Callithrix jacchus: one gene and its partner. The protein of the gene in region 2 binds, or shares a complex with, the protein of the main gene of each other region. Links are inferred from orthologs where the notes say so. Each region holds a gene or a part of one and is shown on either strand. Other genes may lie near its edges.

What was found.
Region 1: the proteins of FBLIM1 (region 2) and FLNC are in contact, whole or in part, in an NMR structure (PDB 2K9U), measured with the Homo sapiens proteins. The link is inferred for Callithrix jacchus from reciprocal best matches to the Homo sapiens genes FBLIM1 and FLNC. Residues at the interface, in NP_001337080.1 of Homo sapiens: Arg8, Val9, Ala10, Ser11, Ser12, Val13, Phe14, Ile15, Thr16, Leu17, Pro19; in NP_001449.3 of Homo sapiens: Thr2339, Ala2344, Gly2345, Gly2346, Leu2347, Ser2348, Ile2349, Ala2350, Val2351, Glu2352, Gly2353, Pro2354, Ser2355, Lys2356, Ile2359, Phe2361, Asp2380, Glu2382, Phe2387.

The regions. Positions count from the first base shown.
Region 1 is NC_133512.1:118,339,070-118,350,841, forward strand, and holds part of FLNC (filamin-C), read right to left. Parts: intron 10,165-11,772; coding exon 9,916-10,164; intron 8,352-9,915; coding exon 8,254-8,351; intron 8,116-8,253; coding exon 7,965-8,115; intron 7,879-7,964; coding exon 7,760-7,878; intron 7,529-7,759; coding exon 7,451-7,528; intron 7,264-7,450; coding exon 7,101-7,263; intron 6,936-7,100; coding exon 6,735-6,935; intron 5,431-6,734; coding exon 5,293-5,430; intron 4,905-5,292; coding exon 4,778-4,904; intron 4,628-4,777; coding exon 4,491-4,627; intron 4,292-4,490; coding exon 4,098-4,291; intron 4,009-4,097; coding exon 3,895-4,008; intron 3,231-3,894; coding exon 3,087-3,230; intron 2,877-3,086; coding exon 2,753-2,876; intron 2,660-2,752; coding exon 2,499-2,659; intron 2,226-2,498; coding exon 2,135-2,225; intron 2,047-2,134; coding exon 1,877-2,046; intron 1,669-1,876; coding exon 1,551-1,668; intron 1,463-1,550; coding exon 1,200-1,462; intron 815-1,199; coding exon 217-814; and 1 more.
Region 2 is NC_133508.1:53,087,445-53,099,822, reverse strand, and holds the start of FBLIM1 (filamin-binding LIM protein 1), read right to left. Parts: upstream 5,707-12,378; 5' UTR 5,612-5,706; intron 4,113-5,611; exon of another isoform or gene 3,992-4,112; intron 3,764-3,991; exon of another isoform or gene 3,729-3,763; intron 3,578-3,728; exon of another isoform or gene 3,524-3,577; intron 1-3,523. UniProt on the Homo sapiens protein: Serves as an anchoring site for cell-ECM adhesion proteins and filamin-containing actin filaments. Is implicated in cell shape modulation (spreading) and motility.

The DNA of each region.
Region 1 (11,772 bases), on a different chromosome or scaffold from region 2:
TTGCCACAAGAGCAGAGGCCAATCTCCACCCCTTGGTCTTCCCGTGCAGTCCTTCTTTGGGGTTTCTGTGCCAGGAAGGACTCTGGGGCTGCCCGAGAGCCCTCCCTTCACCCCAGGTTGTTCTCCCGGCCCTCACCTCTGCTTTCCTCCCTCCCACCAACTACCTGGCCCCTGGACCTGCCACTTGACCTTGCCCAGCTCCTCCTGTCCACTCACCATGTGGCTCAACACCAGGCCCCGAGACCTTGACGCCACTGGTATCGACCGCGGGCTGCACGTGGACTCGGGTGGGGAATTTGGGCACAGGATGCCCACCATACTTGATGGTGATGGTGTAGGTGCCGGGGAAGGCGGGGCTGTAGGTGATGTGGTAGGTGCCATCCGCGTTGTTGTGGATCAGCACCTCAGCCTTGACACCAGCATCTGACAGGATCTCAATGGTCAGCTCCGCCTCGCCTGCCTCTGAGCAGTCCACAGTGAAGGTGGCTGCCTCCCCGGCCTTGCCGCGCTCCAGGCCCGGCCCACTGGCCCGCACCTTGCTCGGGTCAAACACAGGCCGGATGGTGGCTTTGAAGGGCGAGCCGGGGATGTGGGCTTCGGCAAATAGGATGTTGATGGTGTACTCGCCCGGCTCCGTGGGCAGGTAGCTGACAGCACAGGAGCCATCACCATTGTCCTGGCACTCAATCTTGGCCTCGCAGGGGCCCTCCACGGTCAGCCCCAGGCCACCTGTGCCAGCCCCTTTGGTATCAATGGAGAATGGTGCGGGAGTGCCGACCAGTCCGCCCTTGAGACCGGGGCCGTAAGCACAAACCTAGGAGGAGAGGCAGGTATGTGGGTTCTCTGCACCTGGCCTACCCATCCCAGACAGGGCCCCCCCAGCTCATCACCTCCAACTGTGGCTGCTACTGCGGCCTGAGTGCTTATAATAATTCCAGGTGACGACCTGGAGGCAGCGAGATGCAGCAATCTGTCCCAGTTAGTGGACCTGGGATTCTAGCCCAGGTCTGACTCCAAGACCAGGCTCTTAATAGCTAAATTGTCTTCAAAGCAGGGGGTGGGGTGGGGCTGGCCTTGGCCCCCATGTCCTTGGCTGTGCCCGCTCCAGGCACACAGTCCGTCTGGCCTCTGCCCCTGTGACTCGTCCATCTTCCCAACAAGTCCCCAACTCCAGCCCCAACCAGCTCCTGTCTCCTCACCTTGGAAGGATCAGGGGGCAGGACACCCTCCACAGCAAAGGGGCTGCCAGGCACTGGGTGGCCGTCGTAGGTGATGTCCACCTTGTAGGGCCCCTCCTCGGGGGGCATGTAGCGCACAGCCTGGGCTTCCATGCCCCCGCACGGCTCCAGCTTGCAGGGGATGGGCCGGCGAGAGGGTGAAGTCATCCGCACGTCCAGCTGGCCCTGACCGCCAGCCCCTCGTGTGTTCACAGAGAAGGCTTGTTCCTGTCCCACGGCCACCTCTGCATGGAGGGCAAGTGACACCATGAGGAAACTGGTCTACCCCACCCAAACAACCCTCATTCCCAGGGTGGCTCTTGCCTCACTTACTGCTGTTGAGGCCCTGAACTTTTATTTTGCTGAGGTCCAGTGGGGGTGCCACATTCACCACAAAAGGGCTCTTGGGAACAGGGTCCCCGCCATAGGTCACTGTCACTGCCATGTTGCCCTGTTGGGTACAACAGTAGGTCAGAACGGGGTGTAAGGCACGGTTCTGCAGCAACCCGATGGTGAATCTGAAGCTCAGATCCACCAAGAGTGACGGCAGGAGGCAGGGAAGGCACGGAGGAGCCAGAACTGGTCCCATGGGACTGGAGAAGGGAAACCCAGGGCTCCGGCAGCCTGGCCGGGCAGGGTCGTGGGAGGGCAGAGCGCACCTGCTGGACAGCGGTGTACTTGACGGTGTAGGAGTAGTCATGGTTGTCAATGATCTCAAAGTCCCGCACAGCTTCGCCCTTGGCCGTCCCCGCAAACTGCACGTCCAGCTTGGCCTTGCCGGCTCCCTTGGTCAGCACCGTGAAGTGTGTGGGCTTCCCAACTTCCACACCTGGGGAGCCACGCAGAGATGTGGCAAGGGCCTGGCAGCCACCTAACCCCAACCTTGAGTCAGCCCCAGCCCCTGGTCAGACACCCACCTGTGCGATTCAGCCCAGGGCCCTCAGCCTTGACCTTGCTGGCATCATGGGATGGGTCTACCTTGATGTGGAAGGGGCTGGCGGGGATCTCCTGGATGTGGAAGAGGCTCAGTCAGGGCTCTTGAGGGGACCACACCCCTGCTCTGCGCTAGGTGCTGGCACAGGATGCCCCAGGGGACCCAGCAAGGACAGGGGCAGCCCCCAAAAGAGCTCCCTTTGCTTTCTCTTCAGCACCCTGCCTCACATGGGAAGGGCTCCACCATGTCTGTGAAATAATCCCTCCCTACCCCAAGTGACAGCATCTCCAGCTGCCTTCTAAAGCTGAGAGGTGCAGGCTGCTGTGACTACCCAGGGGCTTGAGTACCTGGTTGGCAAACAGCACCATGATGGTGTAGCGTCCGGCCCCTGGGGGCGTGTACTTGACCGTGAAGGTGTCGTTGTCATTCTTGATGATGTCGAAGTCGATGTCAGCCTCTGCAGGGCCCACCACGCCGGGGGCGCACTTGATGCCGATGCTCACGTCGCCTGCAGGGAGGCGGGCACCGCTGTGAGTAGGGCTCAGACTCCCCTCAACCGCCCAACACCCCAACCGAATCCACCCCTTCTGCCTGGGCGCACCTTGCCCCGCCTCGCTGCAGTCCACGGTGAAGTAGGTGGGCTCGTTGGCTTTGAGGCCCGTCTTCTCCACGCCAGGGCCGTACACCTTCACCCGCTCAGGGTGGCTGCCCTCGCCCACGTTCACCTGCGTGGGGGTGGGGGGAGGTTTCAGCTTAGCATGGTCCCCTTCCTCAAGGTTCATCTTTCTGCCCAGCATACCTGGCCCAGCCTCAGCGGCACCAGCCCAAGCCTCAGTTCCAGCCTGAGCCCAGGGACAGCCAGGGGCTCCAGCGAGGGGTCCACCCTCCCTTGGGGACCCCTGGCAGTGGGCACGGGGCAGGTTGGGAGGACGCACCCGGAAGGGGCTCTTGGGCACGTTTACGCCTCCCCAGGAGATGATGATGGTGTGCTTAATGGGCTTTGTGGGCACATAGGAACAGCGGAAGGTGCCATCGCCGTTGGGGATCACCTTGATGTCGATGGGACAGCCGTCCGCGTCCTGTGGGCATCACCGGAACAAAGATCACAGCTGTGGCCTCTGCAGAGCACCCTCTGCTGGCCACAGGTGGACCCAGAGCCTGTTTTCCCACAGCCAACAGGCTGGCACTCCCCACCCCCACACCAGCCACTGAAGCCACCTGAGCCCAGGCCCATGTGCTCTGGTGGCCAGAGCCCACCCTAGGAGCCTGGAGGCATGGCTCAAGGCCATCTGTGTGGCTTGCTTTCCCAGCCTAGGTTTCCTCATCTCTGAAATGTGTTGGACCGGAAGAATGTGGGCTAAATTTATGTTCCTAACATTGAATAATGGGCCTTTTAAAGAAGAACCACCCTCTTAGATCCTCAAGAATATGTTCATTAACCTCCAGGGGTCAATGGACACCAGTGTGACTTGAGAAACCAATGTCTTATTCAATGAAACAATCTTTCAATTACAAATTAGCACAAGTGACTCTTTGGTGAAATACGTTTTTAGGTTATGATCTATAAGAAAACACAAAATTTAAAATTTTCCATGGTACTGATGGGCCCATGTGAATCAGTCCTGCCTGATCTTCTGTGACACTATCATTTCCTGCTGGGAGGCCTCTGCCTCTGGCCTGGCCCTGCCTTCCAGGGTCCCTGCCATGGGTAGTAAGGGCTGCAGAGACTGGGCAGTCCCCCACCTGTGCATAGAGCTTCAGATCTCCCTTGCCAGCTGCACGGGCATCAATGGTGAATTCAGCAGGCTTGTCCACAATGCAGCCAGTAGGCTCCAGGCCGGGCCCAAAGGCCTTCACCTGTGCAGAGGGAAGAGGGCTGGGTTGGGGACTGGAGGAGAACCAGCTCGCCCAACCCCTGGAGCATTGTACCAGAGCTGGGACCATACCTTATCTGGGAAGCAGTCAGGTGGGGCAGGCAGGATGTGGGCAATGAAGGGTGAGTCTCGGATGTCCTCATCGTCACAGATGACATGCACAGCGTACTCCCCAGGCTCTGTGGGCCAGTACCGCACATCGCAGGAGCCATCCCCCTTGTCGTCACATTCGATCTTGGCTTGTGAGGGCCCCTCGATGGAGAAGCCTGGGGCAAAGTGGGGGAGGGTTGGTGGGTCCAACATCTGGCAAGACCCTTCCATCCCCCAGCTCTCCTCTGGCCTCCCTCATGTCTGAGCTCCCTGCTCACCCCAGGGCTCCCCAGCATGCGCACTGCACCCATTATCCCCAGTGACCCCCGCCACCCTCCCCCAAGCACTTCCTCCTCCTGCCTCCCAGCTACTTACCCAGTGTCCCCACCTCGGTGCCAATGGCTTCCACCACAAAATCAGCTGACTTGCCCACCTGACCAGTCTCCAAACCAGGACCCCAGGCCCGGACCTTTTGCACTCCTGCCTCTGGGCTCACCTGTACCTCAAAGGGGCTAGGCAGAGAGGGAGCTGGTGTCCATGCCAGGAAGTGACCCTCCAAGGCCCCCCCTTCATCTCCCCTCAAACTCCCCCGCAGCCTGCTGCCCCTCATCCCTTCCCGTAATGGCCTAGATGGGACAGCACGGGGGACTCAAGGTACTCACCTGCGAGGGATGGCATAGCCGCCCCATGTGATGGTCACCACATACTTCCCAGGCACCACCGGGTAGTACTCGCATTCGAACACACCATCCCCAGCCTCCCGAATTTTCACCGGCTCCTCTGTGCCCTCTGAGGAGGTGGGGGTGGAGTGGGGGAGAAGGCAGATCAATATCCTTGAAGTCCCAGCTCCTCAATCCCCTCAAGGAGCTCTTGGGACCCTGGCCCAGCCCGAAGGCAGTGCTCTAGTGGGCAATGCTCAAACTCAGGGCAGGTACCACTTGTCATCCCCGTGCATAACACCCCGTACAGCACTTAGGGTGGAGAGAATCATTCCTGGCTTGCAGACTCAGAAACTGAAGCAGAGAGGAAACAATGTGTGTGAGATTCTGGGGTGCCGCTGGTGACTGTGGAGCTGTGGTGCTGGCTGTCACTGCCCTCTGGGAGGCAGAACCATTGGCCATATTTACTCCCTGATTCCCCCAGCCCCACCCCCATGACCCTGGGCTCTGGCACTCACTTGGCCCCTTAACTGTGACCTTGAGCTCCCCGCTGCCGGCACCCTTGGTAAACACCTTGAAGTCAGCCACCTCTTTCACACGAACACCCTTGGGCTGCAGGCCTCGCCCAGAGGCACGGCAGGCATTGGGGTTACAGGCTGGGAGAAGAGGAGAGAGGAGGTTGGGGGTGTTGAGGGGCCTTGGACAGAGGCTCAGCCCCCATCTCCCTGGGCACAGTCCTTCTAACCCCTCCCAGGCATAGGCCCCAAGCCCACAGCCCTGCTCTGGAGCCCTTTGTGCCCCCAACACAACAGGGGCTGCTGGGCTGGAGCTGGCTACAGGTCCCAGACCAGACAGACCACAAGAAAGCTTCTGAGCCAATGCCACTGGGGAAATGCATGGCAGAGCTAGGCTGAGAGTGGGCTCAAAGAGACAGGGAAGGCTCCTTTACCCACCCCAAGGCTTCTAGAGCCCTCCATGCCCTCTCAGAACACCAAAGCAACCTTAGGATCTAAGTCATGCCACAACACATTCAGCAATGCCGTGGAACAAGAGCTGCTTCAGATAACGTGAAGCATGCCACAGAACACAGGCGATGTGTGGAAATCAGCTTCCCACAGACGGTGGCCAGTGGCAATGAGCCCAGACCTTGCCACAGAACACAGGCAAAGGAATGGGAATCTCAGTCTGCCACAGGATCCAGGAAATGGCATGGAACCCACGGGTGCTACAAAACACGACGACACATATTCCAGAACTACCATGACCATAGGCGATGGCACCACCCAAGGGGGACCACAGAACACAGGCAATGCCTCAGAACCCAGATTTCATCACAGAAATCATCAGGCAAGTGGCAAAGACACTAGACCTGCCACAGAACACAGAAAACACCATGGAACCTGGGGCCTGCCACAGAATGCCACGGAAGGGGGCGATTCCACACTGCCCGGGTCATGCCACACAGCACAGGTAAGGCCAGTCAGCTACGGCCAGGCCCGGCCCCGCCTCCACTGGAGAGCACTAAAGTGGCACCACTCTCTTGGCCTGGTGGATGATGGGCACTGAGTGCAGGGAGAGAACAAGTGGGGCAGTCATCACCCGAGGGCCCGGTGTGCGGGCAGCACTCCCCAGATACACCCCCACCCGTACGGCCCCATCACTTCCACTCAGCCCTCCCAGGATGGAATGTGTTTTGAGACCCTTCAGTATGGCCCCCATCCCTATTCTTAGGGACTCCAGCCATCTTGGGGGTGAAGTGGAAGGCTCAGAGAGGGGGTCTCTGCAGAGCCCCTCCCCAGCTCTTCCTCCTGTCCCTTGCAAGCCTCAGGCAGCTGCGCCCCTCTGCCCCACGGTGTGAGTGCTTCATGTCCCCCCAGTCCTCAGGCCTGGAACTTGTTGGCAATTCTCTGCATCCTGGCTTGGGTGAGAGCTACCGTGGGGAGCGGTGAGGAACCCTTACCTTCCGCCACGTGGACAGGGAAAGGACTGCGGGTGATGGGGGCACCCGCAAAGGCCACATGCACAGTGTGTGGCCCCTCCATGACAGGTCTGTATGTGCAACGGAATGTGCTATCACCCTTGTCCTCCAGGGCCACCTCCACTGTGTCCCGCCGGCCCTGCGGGTCCACGATCACCACGGCAACATCACCAGTGCCAGCCCCTGCCACAAACAGAGGCCATCAGCACCACTCTGGACACACACATCTGCCCCGGTGCCCTCACCCTGAGGCTGGTCACCCTCTGGCTGGTATCCCCACCCAGCCCCCCACACACAGCCCCACACCGTCAGAGGCTTTCTTCCTGCACCCCCTGGGGCCCATCCTACCGGCAGTGTAGATGTCAAAGTAGGTGGGTTTGTTGGCCACGTTGCCCACAGGTTCCAGGCCAGGGCCACGGGCTGACACCTTGTTGGCATCCCCCAGGGCCATGCCCACATTCACCTCAAAGGGGCTGCGTTCGATGTTCTGACCAGCAAAGAGCACGGTCACCTGGGGTCAGAGGTTAAAGGTTAGCTTTTAGGGGAGAGCCGTCCGAGATGGGGCAGAGGGGCACAGCCACGCCAAGGAGGGTGAGAGGCAAGCAGCCAGGGGCGAGATGCAGACTGAGAGAGGGGTCCATGCAGCCGGAGCCAAGGACGTGAACAGCAGGACGTGCAGGGGGCCTCAAGGGAGATACCTTGTGTAACCCAGCAACCTTGGGCACGTAGGAGACAGCGTAGGTGCGGTCCTTGTCATTGTTGGGAACCACCTTGGCCTATTGGGAAGGACAAAGATTGGAAGCCTCTCCAATGACTGTAGTCCCTCCTGACCCCACAGCGCCTTAAGCACCCCAGCCCCACGAAACCCCCATGGCGACGCCTTCTCCAGACTGCACAGCACAGTATGTAGCTCTGGCAGTCACTTCCGGGCCATTTCTACTGTTGGCCCTACACTCTCTGGTTCCAATCCCAAGCAAATTCCTCTGTCCCCGGCAGCCTCTGCATACCTCCTCGGTGTGGCCTTCGGGGTCCTCGATGTAAACCAGCACCTCGCCCACGCCGGCGTCCACCGTCTGCACGGTGAAGTGGGCAGGCTGCAGCACGGTGTTGCCCTGTGGCTCGATGCCTGCGGGGCGGGAGCAGAGCCCAGGTTACTCAGGGAGCCTCTGTGTGCCCAGCCCCCTAGCAGGGCCACCAGGGGCTCACACGTACCAGGACCATAGGCAATGGCTTTCTTGGGGTTCAGCTGCTTGGATCGAACAGGGGCACCAGGTTTGAGCTTGGCCTTGGGGAACTGGGACAGGTAGGTCATGACAGAATGCTCATCCACGTTGGGGTCCACAATCTCCTCAGGGGCGATAACCTGTGGCGGAAGGGACTGATGTCACACGGCGCCCTCTTTTCCCAGCAGCCCCAGTGTCCCCCTGCACCTTGGCCAGGTATCCTTACAGACCCAATCTCTGCCCCTGCCCCCTGCCCGCTGCCCCATCTGTGTGTGTACCTGAGGCACCCCAAGCCAGTCGTCAGCCTGCTGCATGGCTTCCCGGGCGTTCTCTACAGGCTGGTTGGGATCCCAGGCCTCCCAGTCAGGGCAGAGACCTGGAGAGGTGATGGAGGGAGACGATGGTGAGGGACAGCCAGCCGGCCAGGATGCAGAGCATTTGTTCACCCCACACCCTCGGAGCCTGTGGCTTCACGCCCCTTCCCACCAGCTCTAGGCCCTGACCAGCCAGGTTCCTGCTGACCCCATCAGCTGTGAGGCCCCTCACCACATAGGGGCACGACAGCCCTCCCCACCACCAACAATGAGGCCTTTCTGCCCCGGCTGACGCAGCCTGGCACCAGCCCTGCTGGCCGGCCTCCTGCCTGCCCAGGCCCCAGCTCAGACCTTGAAGCCCAAACCCTGGGAAGGTACCCCTCTCAGATATCTCTTGCTCATTCAGCTTTCTCAGGGTAGGCAGAGGAGGTCAGAGTGCCTGTCCCATATACGCCCCTGACATTCCCTAAAAGGCCTCCTCACCCTACTCGGAAGCCCTAGATCTCCAAGCACTTTCTATACCAGTCTGAGGGCATAAGACTCCCTATTCCTTCTAACTGCCCACATAGGGAAACTGAGGCATCTCCCCTGTGGGGAGAGAACGACTTCTCCTCTGCAGCCCTCAGGAGCCCTGCCCTCCTAACAGGAAGGATGCCGAGGCAGCCCCAGATCACTCCTATGAAGGGTGCAGGTGACAGCGTGCTTGGTTCAGGCCAAAGCTGGAGGAGGGGGACAGCACACATTTCGGGGAGGGGGCCGGCTCAAGGCTGGAATCCATGACTAGCTGGAACAGCTGAGCTCACTGCTGGCAGCCACACCAGCTATGGGCCATGGCTCAGCAGCTGGGAATGCTTCCCGGGAGGCTGTGCCCCCGCCTCCCACCCCCTGCTCCCCAGCTGACCCCAGGGTAGAGGAGGATTGTCCAAGGGCCTGCGACTCCCAGAGAAAGCCTATCTTTTCGGGAAATGAGGGGCAGAAAGGGAGCTGCCCATGGGATATCCTCTAGCTAGTGATGCCTGGGTTTTTTTTATGGCCCCTGAGCTCCCCTCACTTGACCAGGCCAGGACCTACATGGAGAAGGGGCAAGGCTGGGTCACCTGCTACTGGGCAGTACCCCACTGACCTCATCACACATCAGCCTGAGCCTCAACCCCTTGTCAAAGCCATCCCAGGGTCTCCCAGAGAAGAGACTTCTCTGGGTCTAACTCTTGGTCTCACTACAAGTCCCACCACACTGTCTGTCTCCCAGCTCGGCAGGAATAGTGCCTTGTGGCACAGTGAAAAGTTCACGAGGCAGAGAGTCCAGGCCCTGGGCTCTAGGTGGCTCTGCCATGGATAAGCTGTGTGATCTTCAGTAAGTCACTGGCCCTCTCTGGGCCATGGTGTCCTTGTCAGTAAAATAAGGGGTAAAATAACCTCTCCCGGCTCTGTGAAATCTGGCACACTTTTCAGGTAGGGCCTGCCACCAGCAGACAGCCGCAGCTGGAGGAGGGCAAACCCCGCAGGAATCCTGCCTTCCAGGCCCCTGGGTGTGCATCCTGACAACCACGGGCCTTGGCAGCCCCAGCTCGGCCCCTCTGTCTTTGAGACCTAAGGGCTCCATGCTGTGCTCGCTGGCCCACTCACCGGGGGCGCAGTTATCCACCAGGGCACCCAGAGCTTTGCCATCCTGCCAGTCACGGTTGAAGTTGGTGATGGGCAGCTGGGGCACCTTGTTCTGGATCCAGCCGAGCAGTCGCTGCTTGGGCGTCTGTTTGCGAGCATCCTCATCATCCTCATCCTCCCACATGGGCATGGAGATGGAGTAGTGCAGGATCAGCGTCCAGATCAGGCCCAGGATCAGCTTCAGGTTCCCATCCACGATGGCCTTGCTGTCTGCAGAGGGGAGGGCACAGGCAGGCTTAGAGTCACCCCACCCTCTCCTGCCCCAGGGCTCCCTACCTCACCTGCCCAGCTCCTCAGCCAGAGCCCTGGGGTCAGGTCTCTCGTCTCTGCTATCCATCCCTCTCCCTCCTGAGAGGCGCCACTCAGATGCCAAGTCCTTTACGGGGCCTTTCCGGTCAGAAGGCCGCTTCTCTGTGTTCCTGCGGTTCTGGAAGCTACCCTCACCTCTGCTATAGCACGTGAGTCTGCCTCCTGTCTGTGTACTTATCTGGTTTCTGTCTGGCCTTGTGGAATTATAAGGCTCCCAGGGCAGAGCCTTTTTGTATTGTTAACAGTTCTACTGAGGTATGCTTGACATACACGCTACGTCAACTGCACACGTTAGGAAGTGAAGTTTGAGAAGCTTTGACACTATGGATATCTCCACAAAGCCATCACCACATATCGAGAATAATAAAGGTACCATCCATCACTCCCCAAAGTTGCCTTGCTCACACCCCTTTGTGAGCGCTCTCTCCTGCTGCCCTTGTCGTTCCGTTCCAAGCAACAACTAATCTGCTTTCTGTCGCGATAGATGCTTTGTATTTCCTAGTGTGTTATATAGGTGGAATCACACATTCTATACTCTCTTTTTTTGTCTGCTTTCACTTTAGACACTAGGTTTTATCTTTCTACAATGAAGGTCTTGAACTTAGTAAGGACTCAATAAATAATGGTTGAATGAATGAATATTTTAAACTGGAGTGGAGTAGGACCAGCTTCCACTCAGATTCTACCCTGAATGCCAGAAAGAGCTTTAGAAACCAAGGGGTTCTGATAGCAGGGTAGGGGTGGGTGGGTGGGGTCTAGTACATTCTCAGTTAAGGCTTGGAAGTCACGTTGTCAAAGGCTGGGGGCCGGAGGGGCTCCAGGAGCTGACACACTCCACCCCTCACCTCCTTTGAGGAATCCTTTGAGTCAGAACTGGTTCCTCAAGATTTGGGAGGGGGCGCTAATTCCCCCTTGACAATCAGAAAGAAATATCCAGAAGCCTGGGGTGGCCTAGAGAGTAGACAGATCTTTGGAATTCAGCTTACTTGTAAAGGGCAATGAAGTTCTGAAATCTATCAGCTTCCCAAAGCACTGCTTTCAGAAGGCTGGAAATGGGTGGGAGACTCGGTCTTGTTTACTGATGTTGCCCGAGTGATGGGAGAGGGTGGAGTGGTCTCCCCTCCCACTTCTTCTCCCCTCCACCCTTCCCCAGACCCTGGGGCAGTGCCTGAGAAATCCAGGGCATCCCCTGCCCCACTCCCACCTGCCCCGGGAGGGCTACCTCAGTCTCCCTGTCCCTCTGGCTGGGGCTCTGGCCTCCTGGGCTACCCCACCCTGTCACTGATTCATCCTTCCTTCCCCAGCAGCTCCCCAGCCCGCCCCCTTCCCCTGGATCCACTGCAGCACAATGGTTTGGCAGCTTTCAGATTCCATGACACACTCACTCGCTGCCTCCCGGTGCTTTCTCTCAAACACACAGGCTCTGACACTTTCACACAGTCTTGATGCCCCAGGGCCTCCAGCCTCTCACAACCCCGGCAGCCTCCAAAGCCAGTGCTCACAAGCCCA
Region 2 (12,378 bases):
CTGCAAAAATTAGCTGAGTGTGGTGGCAGGCACCTGTAATCCCAGTTACTCAGGAGGCTGAAGCAGAGAACTGCTTGAATCCAGGAGGTGGAGGTTGCAGTGAGCTGAGATTGCTCCGCTGCTCTCCAGCCTGGGCGACAGAGGGAGGCTCAGTCTCCAAACAGACAAACACAAAAATTAGCCAGTCATGGTGGCTTGCACCTGTAGCTACTCAGGAGGCTAAGGCAGGAGAATTGCTGGAATCCTGGGAGGCAGAGGTTGCAGTGAGCTGAGATTGCGCCACTGCACTCCAGCCTGGGCGACAGAGGGAGACTCTGTCTGAAACAAACAAACAAAACAAAACAAAACAGATCTGAGAGCATGGTGGCACCCTGACATCCTGATGTCAGGAAAGGGCATTATTTCCCATATGTCACGTAGTTCCTGCTGACAGTAGTCTCTGCAGCCAAGGCTGAGGTGGGGACATGGTGGGAGATTTGGGAGTCCAGTGAACCCAGATGTCCTCACCAGGCCTGCAACAGTGGTGCCCAGGGCTAAAACACGTCTCTTTTTAGGTCGAGCACAATGGCTCATGCCTGTAATCCCAGCTGTTCGAGACCAGCCTGGCCAACACAGTGAAACCCCGTCTCTACTAAAAATAACAAAATTTCCTGGGCGTGATGGCGGGTGCCTGTAATCCCAGCTACTTGGGAGGCTGAGGCAGGAGAATTGTTTGCACCTGGGAGGTGGGGGTTGCAGTGAGCTGAGATTGAGCCATTGCATTCCAGCCTGGATGACAGGGCAAGACTCTATTAAAAAAAAAAAAAAAAAAAGTGTCCTTTTCTATCTCGCTCTTCAGGCTGTCCTTTGTGCACTGGCCACTGTGGGTTCTCAGTGACTGATGGATAATAAAAACAGTAAGAAGTGCTCCTGAATTACTCTTAAGTTGGTTTATGTGTTTGGCTAAAACATATAGCCCAGTCTGATAATAAAGTATTTATTCTGAGTAAGAAATCAATATATTAGGAAAGAGCCTCAAAACTTACTTAAAAGTACTTCTCTTTAGCTTCTGGGTTTGGCAATGGTGTCTGGAAGTATGTATGCTCAGGCTGGCTGTCACGGGCTTTAGTTTTACACTTTGTTGTAAGTTTAAGAATCTGTTTTCTGTCAACAATATTCAGAGTGCATCTGAGATCTAAAGAAATACTGAACAACTCGCTGATAAGGCACCAGGCCTTGTGCCAGGTACTATATGTGCCTCAAAACCCACCAGCCTCTCAATCTAGCTGCAAGAAAGGCCCATCCTGGCCCCACTTTGCAGATGGAGCCTATGAGGTTCCAGGAGGTTAAGTGACTTTCCCAGGCCATCCATGGCTCTCAGAATTCTAATGAAACATCATCCCACCTGGAAATCCAGGGTGTCCCCATACCTGAGAGGACACACTTTTCCTTCCTTGGATGGCACAAGGCCCCCCAAGTTGCCAGGCCTGTTCTCACTCTAGAATGACCCAATCCAGAAATCTTGTGGTCGGCAGGTTCTGGGCTGGTCCCCCGGGCTGCTGTGGGCCTTTGAGATGGCCCTCTGCCTCCTCCCACCCAGCCCTGACCCTTCCTCCACTCCTCCGGGAAGTCAGATATGCCTGGTTTCTCGGAAAATGTCCAGCACGGAGGCCAGATGTTCACATCTGGGCAGCCCCCATCCCTCTCAAGCAGTGACTGCAGGGACCTCAGGCCCCAGGGGAAGGGACTGAGCTGGGGAGTTTCAAAACCCTGTCAATCCCATCGGGAAAGGGAGCCCTGGCTTCCCTCCGGTCCCACTGCCCTCCAATCAGTTGGGAGCAGGGTGTGTGTGTGTGGCGGGAGCAGCAGGATGTGTGTAAGTTCCCCAGGGGCAGTCTCCCTTGCCCAGGGGACCCTCTGCCCTCACTCTTCCTCCCGGAGAGGGTGAATCAGAGATCCAGTTAGATAAGTGGAGAAAGTGGGGACAAAGGGAGGGAAAGTCATTTCCTGTCCAAAGTTAGGAAGGAGGTTGGGATCCAGCCAGCCACCCAGACCAGCTAGAGGCTGCAGCCTTGGGACAGAGGATGTGCAGCTCAGGACCTCAGGACCCCCCCACCCCCATTCATTTCCTACTCCTAAAAAAAAAAAAAAAGAAAACCTCCGGGACCACCTCTAAGCGTTTTCCTTTTTTTTTTTTGAGACAGAGTCTTGCTCCAGAGGCAAGTGCAGTGGTGCAATCTCGGCACACTGAAACTGCCTCCCAGGTTCAAGCAATTCTCCTGCTTCAGCCTCCCTTGTAGCTGGGACCACAGGCATGAGCCACCACACTTGGCTGATTTTTGTATTTTTGGTAGACACAGGGTTTCACCATGTTGGCCAGGCTGGTCTTTAACTCCTGACTTCAGTGATCTGCCGGCCTTGGCCTCTCAAAATGCTGGGATCACAGGAGCAAGCCACCACACCCGGCTTCAGCGTTGTTCTTTAATGACTGGATAAAGCAGTCTACCTTTGGGTCCGGAATTAAACTTAGCCCGAGATGGGGACGGGGCGGGCTGTGCCCCAACTCCTCCCACCTAGCAGCCTTGGGGAGGGGTTCCCTCAACCTCTCTCCCACCCCAGGGAAACAGAGGAGACAGAGCTGGGTTCACAAGAGGCCCCACCTCTTTCCTGCGGGGTGACCTCGCGCAGGTCACTGAACCTCTCTGGCCTCGTTCTTTTCATAAAGTGAGAATGAGCCTGTCCTAAAGGCGGCTGAGAGTATATAGAAGGAAAGAAGGCTCAGGGTCGAGGCCCTTGGAAAGCGCAAAGAGAAGGTTATGCAGCGGCTGAGCGGGAAAAGGGCCTGGGGCTGGGCTCCGCTGGGGGTGCCTCCAGGACCAGGAGGTAGCTTCCACCGTCATTAAGAACAGGAATCTGGGCGCGGCCCCAGCCTCTCCCGGGGGTCCTCAGGTCGGGGCGGAAGATGGCGGGTGGGGGCGGACGCCAAGATCGCCCCAGGGCACACACCTATCGCCCAGCTCCGCTCCTTTTCAGCCCCCGACGGGCGCATGAGGCCCAGAGAGGGGCAGCCCCGGGGCCCGTCCCTCCCCTCCCCTGACCCTGGCTGGGAAAGGGGCCCGGAGCTCCCCCGGGCTCCGGAAACGCGGGGCCCTCGCAGGCAGCCGAGCAGGGAGGCCGCCGGGGTCACCGCCGGGGCTTTAATTCGATCCATGTGCGGGACGCCGGCCCTTTGTGCGGGAGCTTCCGCCCAGCGTGCCCGTTCCCGGAGCCCGCTCCAGGTCTGGGACTCGACCCTCCGCCGCCCCCACTGAGCCTTCGCCCCGGACCCGCCGACCCCCGACTCCGGGGACAGAGAATAAAAGAGACGGGGACGCAAAGGACGTGAGGACCGCACCCCCCACCCGCAGGCCCCTCCAAGGGCGCCGCGCCGGGACTCCCGGCTGGGGACCGGGTGGGCTCCGGCCGAGCGCTGCCTGCGCTGTCACCTGTGTGCGACGGGGGCAGGGACGGAGGAATGCCTCCCTCACCCACCCGGCCCCCTTACCTGGGCTGCCCGCACCCCTGCGGCTCCGATCCGACGCCCGAGCCAGTGGAGTCCGGAGCTGCGGGGCCTCCCGCCCCCTCCGCCCGTCCGCCCTCCCCGCCCCCTCGGCTCCCTCCGCCCCGCCGCCCCGCGCCGCGTTACCATAAAAGGTGAGGCTCGGTGGGGAGGGGGCGCGGGATTCCCGCCCCGCAGAAGCGGTTCTTACCTGCCCCCTACCCGCCCCACAACCAGTTCGGCCGCGCCCCGCGCCGTTCCCTCCCCCTCCCTTTGTTTCCTGGACCACGCCTCCCCTCCCCCTTGGCCCAGGCCCGGGGGTGGGGGTTAGGGGGAAGGGGTGTGGGGGCCGAGGAATGGGGAGTGGGGGTGGGCCTCCTTCCCTCCCCGCTGTCCACCCCCTCGTGTCCGTTATGGACCCCTCGTGGTCCCTGCCCTGCCCTTTCCCTTGCTTTCCTGGGCTGACGCCCCCACCTGCCCTGTCCCGCGTAGGTGAGCTCTTACACCCCACTTTGCCTCTAGGATCCGCCAGGGTCCCGAGTCAAGCCGATCAGGGTTCTGCGGCCGTTCACTAAGCGTGAGACCTGGAGCAGTCACTCCACCTCCTGAGCCTCAGTGTCTTCATCTGTAAAGTGGGAGTAGCCACTGCCTACCTCTCCAGGTTGGCCTGAAGATAAAAGGTGACAGTCACAGCCAGGACTGTGATTAATAGAGGTTAATATATGCCGGGTTGGGGTTTTTTTCTAGGAGTGCCCCTGCGGGTGGGGGTCTCAGAGACCTCCCAGTGGAGCAGGTCACCTTGTTCTGCTGTCCTGAGGTATAAGCCCTCTGCAGGTGGGTCCCGGTGTCCTGGGGGACAGGCCCCTCCAGGAGCTCTGGAAGGCAGAGCCCAGCTGGCCCAGTGGCTGAACCCCTCCCTCCACCTCCAGTGACCCTCTCCCTCCTAGCTGGAGCAGTTAGGACGGTAGGGGGAGGGAAGGCTGAGCCTGGCTCTGGGGCCCAGGATGGGGCTGGGATGAGCCGCCTGGGTCCCTCAGGAGCATTGTGGCGAAAGGAATCTGGGTCTGATTCAGAGGCAGATTGTTCTTTTGATTAAAGCCACAGTGGCTGAGTCTGGAGGAGCGCTGGACCCAGCGCCATCTGTGGGGCGGCCAGGCAGCATCTGGCCCTCTCCTGCAGCCTCACAGCTACAGTCACCCCTCCAGGGTGGCTCTGGGACTGTTTCTGAGGGAGGCTGGTTTATATTCGAAGGAGGGTGCCTTTGCCCTCTCCCACCAATCATTGCCCCTCCCATCCCTCTTGTCACCCCATTTCCCATTTGATCCTCACAGTTGAACTGCAGTAACAGCAGCAGTCCCAGCAGCTGCCTTTGGTGGGGGCTTTCTAGGTGCTGGTGCCCATCCTCATCCCCTTCCCAATCCCACGAGAGCCCTGGGCGCCAGGGCTGATAATTCCTCTGCACAGTCAAGGACACGGAGGCCCCGAGAGGCCCGAGGCTACACTAGGGGCAAATGACAGAGCTGAATTCAAACCAGAGCCGCTGTGTCCTTGGGCACACAGCTCTGCTAGTCTCAGGAACAGGTACCACTGCCACCCTTCACAGATTCGGAAGCTGGGGCTTGGAGGTGGTGAGAGTTCTGTGCAGCAGGGCGAGGTTGCAGCTCAAGGCTGTTTGAGTCCCCCCTTGGCTCATTCCTGGCTTGGCAGTGATACCCTGCTCCTCCCAGCCCCCAAGCTTTGCAGTACCCTTTGGAGGAGACTTCCCCCATACCCTCCACTGGGAGGGAAACACCGAACGCCAGAGACAGGAAGGACCCTGGTGTGATCTGGGGGTTTTCAGGGACTTTTGGCTGTAGAACCCCTTTCCAAGTGCTTGATGACCCAGGAGTTTATTTTAGAGATAAAAGTGGAGCTGCCCGCCGTCACCTCCATGACATCCCCTGAGCCACCTGCACCCCCAGATGGGAGAGTGGGGCACCGAAGGGTTGAACTGGGGCTTTGTTCAAGGTCACACTGACTCAGTCTAGGACCCAGGCCTCCCACATCTGCTCTGGGACGGTCAAAGGGAATGAGGGTCCAGCTGCCTCTGCTTACCTGCCTCCAGCACCTTTGGCCGCCTGTTCGACTGCCACCACCACTCCCAGATGGAGGAGTGCATCCTGGCCTGCAGCAGCCCAGGTGTCGATGTCACCTATCAGCAGGTGCCAAACTTCCTGCAATGGAAACCCAGGAAGTGCACTGGACAAGAACAGACGCGCTTTGTCTGCCAGCTCGGAAGCCCTGCTGCCCTCTGCTGTCACTGCCAGGTTCGCATCGGCTTTCTCCCCACTCAGATGGCCCCAGCAAGCAAGGGGCTCAACCTTCCCTTAGGATGGTGGCAGCAGAGGCCCTGGGTGGCAGGGAATGGGTGGGCGAGAGGTTTGAGGGAAAGTGTGCTTGCCAGGGTAGGGGTGGCACCTGCCATCCACAATGGAGAACTTTGACTTTGCAGACACTGTTGTGTGCAATGCATGAGTCAAGGAGCCAGTGGGATCAAGTCAGACATGATCAGCCCTTGTCCCCACAAACCTTACAAGGAGATTGGGTAGACCAAACCATAAGGCATATTAACATGATAATGACCAATAGTAAAAGGTGCTATGAAGGAATGGACCAGGGGCTGAGACAAACATGAGTGGGGGTGGGCAGGGATGGGCAGGAAGGCCTCTCTGAGGAGGTGAGGAGGGTTAAGCTGAGATGGAGAGGAGCCAGTGTGAGAATAGGGACAGAGGGGAACTTTATTAAAGGTCAGATGCCCCTGGGGCCTCTCAGCTCCTTACTCCATCCCTTATTTTCCATCTGCCTACCTGCTTGGAGTCAGGTCAGTCCAATGCTTATTTCCTGGGTGCTGCTGCGTATGGGGTCCTGTGCTAGGCAGGGTGGGAAGAGGAGCAGCACAGACAAGAGGGAGCTCCCCCATAGTGGAGGCGTCAGATGGGGACACAGATACAGTTGTGAGTAACATCAGCATCTGGGAGTGACTCCAGCTCTGCCATTTGCCAGCCTTGGGCAAATCACTTCTCTCTGGGCCTCAGTTTCCTCTTGCAACTGAGGAGTTACAAACCCAGGTTTGTCCCTTGTGACTTCATAGCAAGAATCCAGTGGGGTAAATATGGGTAAAAATACCTGGTGCTCAGTAGGTGTTCAAAGCTGAGCTCTCCCTACCACATAAAGGATAGAAGTTGTAGTCAGAGGGACAGAGTGCTGAAAGGAAGAGAAGGACGCGACTTTGTCCTGCAAGAGAATCCAAGGCACATCCATGGCTCCTGACAGCCCAGCACTGCTTTCCCAGATTCTGATAACAGCACTGTTTCTGTTTGGGGAACCTTTCCTTCACTCTCAATGCCTGGGGTTAAGATAAGATTCCTGGCCAGGGGCGATGACTCACACCTGTAATCCCAGCACTTTGGGAGGCTGAGGGGGCAGATCACGAGGTCAGGATTTCAAGGCCAGCCTAGCTAATATGGTGAAACCCCGTCTCTACTATAAAATATTAAAATTAGCTGGACATGATGGTGGGCGCCTGTAGTTCCAGCTACTCAGGAGGGCTGAGGCAGGAGAATCACTTGAACCTGGGAGGCGGAGGTGGCAGTGAGCCGAGAACATGCTACTGCACTCCAGCCTGGGTGACAGAGTAAGACTCCGTCTCAATCAATCAATCAATAAAAGATGAGATTCCTACATCCTCTGACTCTGCAGATGTATACATGACCCATGTCCAGCCAATCATGGTGGCTGTTAGTTCTAAGATAAGCTCTCTGGGCTTGTTGGCTGGCAGAATACAAGCTTGGCACCACTTTCGCCCCCCACTTGGACCCCCACAGAGGACAGCAGAGCAAAGAGATAGAGAAAGATAACTGATTTCATCACTTAAGCTGCTGGATCCAGCCCTGCCTGCAATCCTACTACCAGGCCTGCAGAATCAATGCATTTTTTCCCTTTTTGTTTTTTATTCTTTTAAGACAGAGTCTTGCTCTGTCAGCCAGGCTGGACTACAAGGGTGCAATTTTGGCTTACTGCAACCTCCACCTCCCAATTTCAAGTGATTCTTGTGCCTCCTGAGTAGCTGGGACTACAGGCATATACCACCATGCCTGGCTAATTTTTGTATTTTTCTAGTAGAGACAGGGTAACAACATGTTGGCCAGGCTGGTTGTGATTATAGGCTCCTTACTTTTTCTTAAACCAGTTAAAATTGCATTTCTGGCCAGACGTGGTGGCTCATGCCTGTAATGCCAGCACTTTGGGAGGCCAAGGTGGGTGGATTATGAGGTCAAAAGTTCCAGACCAGCCTGACCAACATGGTGAAACCCCCACATCTACTAAAAATATACAAATTAGCCAGGTGTGGTGGCGTGTGCCTATAATTCCAGCTGCTCAGGAGGCTGAAGCAGGAGAATTGCTTGAACCCAGGAGGTGGAGGTTGCAGTGAACCAAGATCACGCCACTGCGCTCCAGCCTGGGTGACAGAGCAAGATTCCGTCTCAAAAAAAAAATTGTATTTCTCCAGTCATTTATTGTGCTTTTTCTTTTTTTCTTCTTCTTCTTTTATTTATTTATTTTTTTGCCTGAACATAGCTGTAAACTGTTCTGAGATGTTGTGCTTTTTCTCCTTGTTCTAAATAAATAGTCATGAGTCTGGGTGCGGTGGCTCACGCCTGTAATCCCAGCAGTTTGGGAGGCCCAGGCAGGCAGATTACTTGAGGCCAGGAGTTAGAGACTAGCCTGGCCAGCATGGTGAAACCCCGTCTCTACTAAAAATAGAAAAATTAGCCAGGTGTGGTGGTAAGCAGCTGTAGTCCCAGCTACTCAGGAGGCAGAGGCACAACAATTTCGTGAACCTAGAAGGCAGAGATTGCAGTGAGCCGAGATGTCCCCACTGAACTCCTAAGTGCCCTAAGTGATAGAGCCAGACTTTGTCTCTACTAAAAATACGAAAATTAGCTGGGTGTGGTGGTGCACACTTTTAGTCCCAGCTACTTGGGTGGTGGAGGCAGGAGAATTGCTTGAATCTGGGTGGTGGAGGTTGCAGTGAACTGAGATTGTGGCACTGCACTCCAGCCTGGGTGACAGTGAGACTCTGTCTCAAAATAAATAAATAGGCCAGGCGTGGTCTCTCAGGCCTGTAATCCCAGCACTTAGGGAGGCCAAGGCGGGCAGATCACAAGGTCGGGAGATCAAGACCATCCTGGCCAACACAGTAAAACCCTGTCTCTACTAATAATACAAAAATTAGCTGGGTATGGTGGCATGTGCCTGTAATTCCAGTTTCTCTGGAGGCTGAGGGAGGAGAATCACTTGAGTTCGGGAGATGGAGCTTGCAGTGAGCCAAGACTGCACCACTAAACTCCAGCCTGGCAATGGAGTGAGGCTCCATCTAAAAAATAAATTAGTACATAAATAAATAAAACAAAAAAATTAGCCAAGTGTGGTGGTGCACACCTGTAGTCCCAGCTACTTGGGAGGCTGAGGTGGGAGGATCACTTGAGCCCTGGAAGTGGAGGTTGCAGTGAGTGAAGATCAATCATGCTACTACATTCTAGCCTGGGCAACAGAGCAAGACCTTGTCTTGAAGAAAAAGCCAGGCCAGGCATGGTGGTTCATGCCTGTAATCCCAGCACTTTGGGAGGCCGAGGTGGGAGGAACATGACGTCAGGAGTCTGAGACCAGCTTGGCCAACATGGCAAAACCCTGTCTCTACTAAAACTACAAAAATTAGCCAGGCGTGGCAGTGGCAGCTGGGGGTAGTACCTGTAATCCCAGCTACTCGGGAGGCTGAGGCAGGAGAATCGCTTGAACCTGGACGCAAAGGTTGCAGTGAGCTGAGATTGCACCACTGCACTCCAGCCTGGGTGACAGAGCAAAACTCCATCTCAAAAAAAAAAAAAAAAAACCAGGCACCTGTAATCCTGGCTATTTGGGAGGCTGAGGAAGGAGAATTGCTTGAACCCAGGAGGTGGAGGTTGCAGTGAGCCAAGATTGTGCCACTGCACTCCAGCCTGGGCGACGAAGTGAAACTCCACCAAAAGAAAAAAAAGCCGAGTAGGAATTGACCAGGCCGCAGCTAGAGCCATATGGTGTCCACTCTAAGGCTTTAAGCCTGTGTCCAACTGCCTCGCCCAGGCAGAGCCTACGTTCCCAAGAGCTGGCTGTGACAATATTGTCTGGGTATTAATCCCCTACTGGTTTAGGGGCCTGAGCTGGCTCTGGCCAGGCATGCTGGTTCCCACGACCAGGCTGTCCACTCAGCAAATCAGCACAGGCTCCAGGGTGGGGTGTGAGAAGTATGGGACAGGCCAAGGAAGGGCTTGAGGCTCAGCTGACTGAGGGGGCCCTCCTCACCCTAGGCCATCCCCGTCAGGGCCCCTCTGTCCCTTATTTGGGAAGGTCCCTGAGCTAGCTCCAAACCCTCACTGACCCCAGCTGCCTCCTCGATCCCCCTCCCACTGGGAACCTCCACTCCCAGCGGGAACCTCCACTCCCAGCGGGAACCTCCACTCCCAGCGGGAACCTCCACTCCCAGCGGGAACCTCCACTCCCAGCAGCTTCTATCCCAGCATCCGCCCTTGCTGATCTATCTCCGCACCCTCAAGCCCTGAGCCCCCTCCTTACTAAAGCACAATGTGGCCTGAAACCTGCCATCACCTCTGTGGGTCTCCCCTTCTCTCTTAGCCAGAGGTGGGCTTATTGTGGAGTTAATAAAACTTATGCTCATGGCCTCACTCCCATGGCCCCTATGAAGGCTGGGAACTTCTGGGTGTTACAGAGTGTTCTAGACAAATAGGGAAGCCGGTTTTGCTTAGGAAGGGAGTCCATGAAGCACACCTGGCAAACTGCCCAGGGAGACATCAGAAGAGCCCAGATCTTCAAGTCTCCAGTCATAGTTGTGCTTCTTCTCCTTGTTCTAGTCACTTTCAGCCAGGCGCAGTGGCTCATGCCTGTAATCCCAGCACTTTGGGAGGCCTGAGGTCAGGAGTTTGAGACCAGCCTGGCCAACATGGGGAAACCCCATCTGTACTAAAAATACAAAAATTGGCCGGGCGTGGTGGCTCACGCCTATAATCCCAGCACTTTGGGAGGCCGAGGCGGGTGGATCACGAGGTCAAGAGATTGAGACTATCCTGGTCAACAAAGTGAAACCACATCTCTACCAAAAATACAAAAATTAGCTGGGCATGGTGGTGCGCGCCTGTAGTCCCAGCTACTTGGGAGGCGGAGGCAGGATAATTGCTTGAACCCAGAAGGCGGAGGTTGGGGTGAGCCGAGATCATGCCATTGCACTCCAGTCTGGGTAACAACAGCGAAACTCCATCTCAAAAAAAAAAAACAAAAAACAAAAATTAGCCAGTGTGGTGGTGCATGCCTGTAATCCCAGTTACTCAGTAGGCTGAGGCAGGAGAATTGCCTGAACCCGGGAGGCAGAGGTTGCAGTAAGCTGAGATCTCCATATTGCACTCCAGCCTGGTGACATAGTGAGACTGCCCCTCCCCAAAATAGTCATCTTCATACGAATCCTGTATTATTTTTCTAAAGGGAGTCCTTAAAATGGGATCTGCCTTGATCTTTCTTATTTTATTTTGAGATGGGGTCTTGCTCTGTTGCCCAGGCTGGAGTGCAAGTGGTGTGATTATAATTCACTGCAGCCTCCACCTCCTGGGCCCAAGTGATCCTCACGCCTCAGCCTCCCAAGCAGCTGAGACTACAGGGACACACCACCATGCCCAGCTAATTTTTTTTTTATTATCTGTAGAGATGAGGTCTTGCTATGTTGCCCAGACTGGCCTCGAACTCCTGGGCTCACAAAATCCTCCCGCCTCGGCCTCCCAAAGTGCTGGGATTACAGGTGTGAGCCACAACGCCTGACCCATATGCCTCACTTTTATTATTTACAATCCCCTCTCCTCACAGCAGCCAGAGCCCCTCACTAAAGCAGCACCTAATGCCCTTCTTTGCACAGCCCTCTATGGCTCCCCACTGCTCTCTGGGACAATGCCAAATCCCTCACCCCGGCCCTGTGTGATCCCGCCCCAACCCACCCCTGGTGCTATTTCCCACCACTGCACCCCTCAACCCTCTGCTCCAGCCACACTGACCCCTCCTCAGCCCCTCAGTCCACTCTGGAGCCTTGAAACCTTGCTGGGCTTCAATACCACCCCCCTGGCCTGGGAATGCTCATCTTCTCACCTGGGTTATTCAAATGCTTCCAGACTATTCTGAAAACAGCCACAAGAGGATTCTTCTCAAGGTGTACGTCAGCTTCCTCACGTCCTTGTGCAAAACCTTCTGCTGGCTTCCCTCAGGTCAACACAGTCCTCAGCCTTGCCCAGTGCTCCAGGCCCAGCTGCCTTACCCTCTCTACCACCTTCCTTTTTTTTCCTTTTTTTTGGAGAGGGAGTCTTGCTCTGTCACCCAGGCTGGAGTGCAGTGGCACGATCACTGCAATCTCTGCCTCCCAAGTTCAAGTAATTTTCCTGCCTCAGCCTCCTGAGTAGCTGGGACTACAGGTGCCCATCTCACCACACGCAGCTAATTTTTGTATTTTTGGAGAGACGGGGTTTCACCATGTTGGTCAGGCTGGTCTTGAACTCGTGACCTCAGATGATCTGCCTGCTTCGGCCTCCCAAGTGCTGGGATTATAGGCGTGAACCACCACACCTTCCGAAATGCCCCAGCCTGTTCCCGCCACAAGGCGCTTGCTGAGTGGTATTCTCAGCTTGGGACGTTCTTCCCTCTGCTGTTTGCCTGGTTCCCCCTTGCTTTGTTCAGGTCTCTGATCCAATGTCCCCTCCTCCCAGGAGCCCTCTGTGATAGCAGCTTCTGAG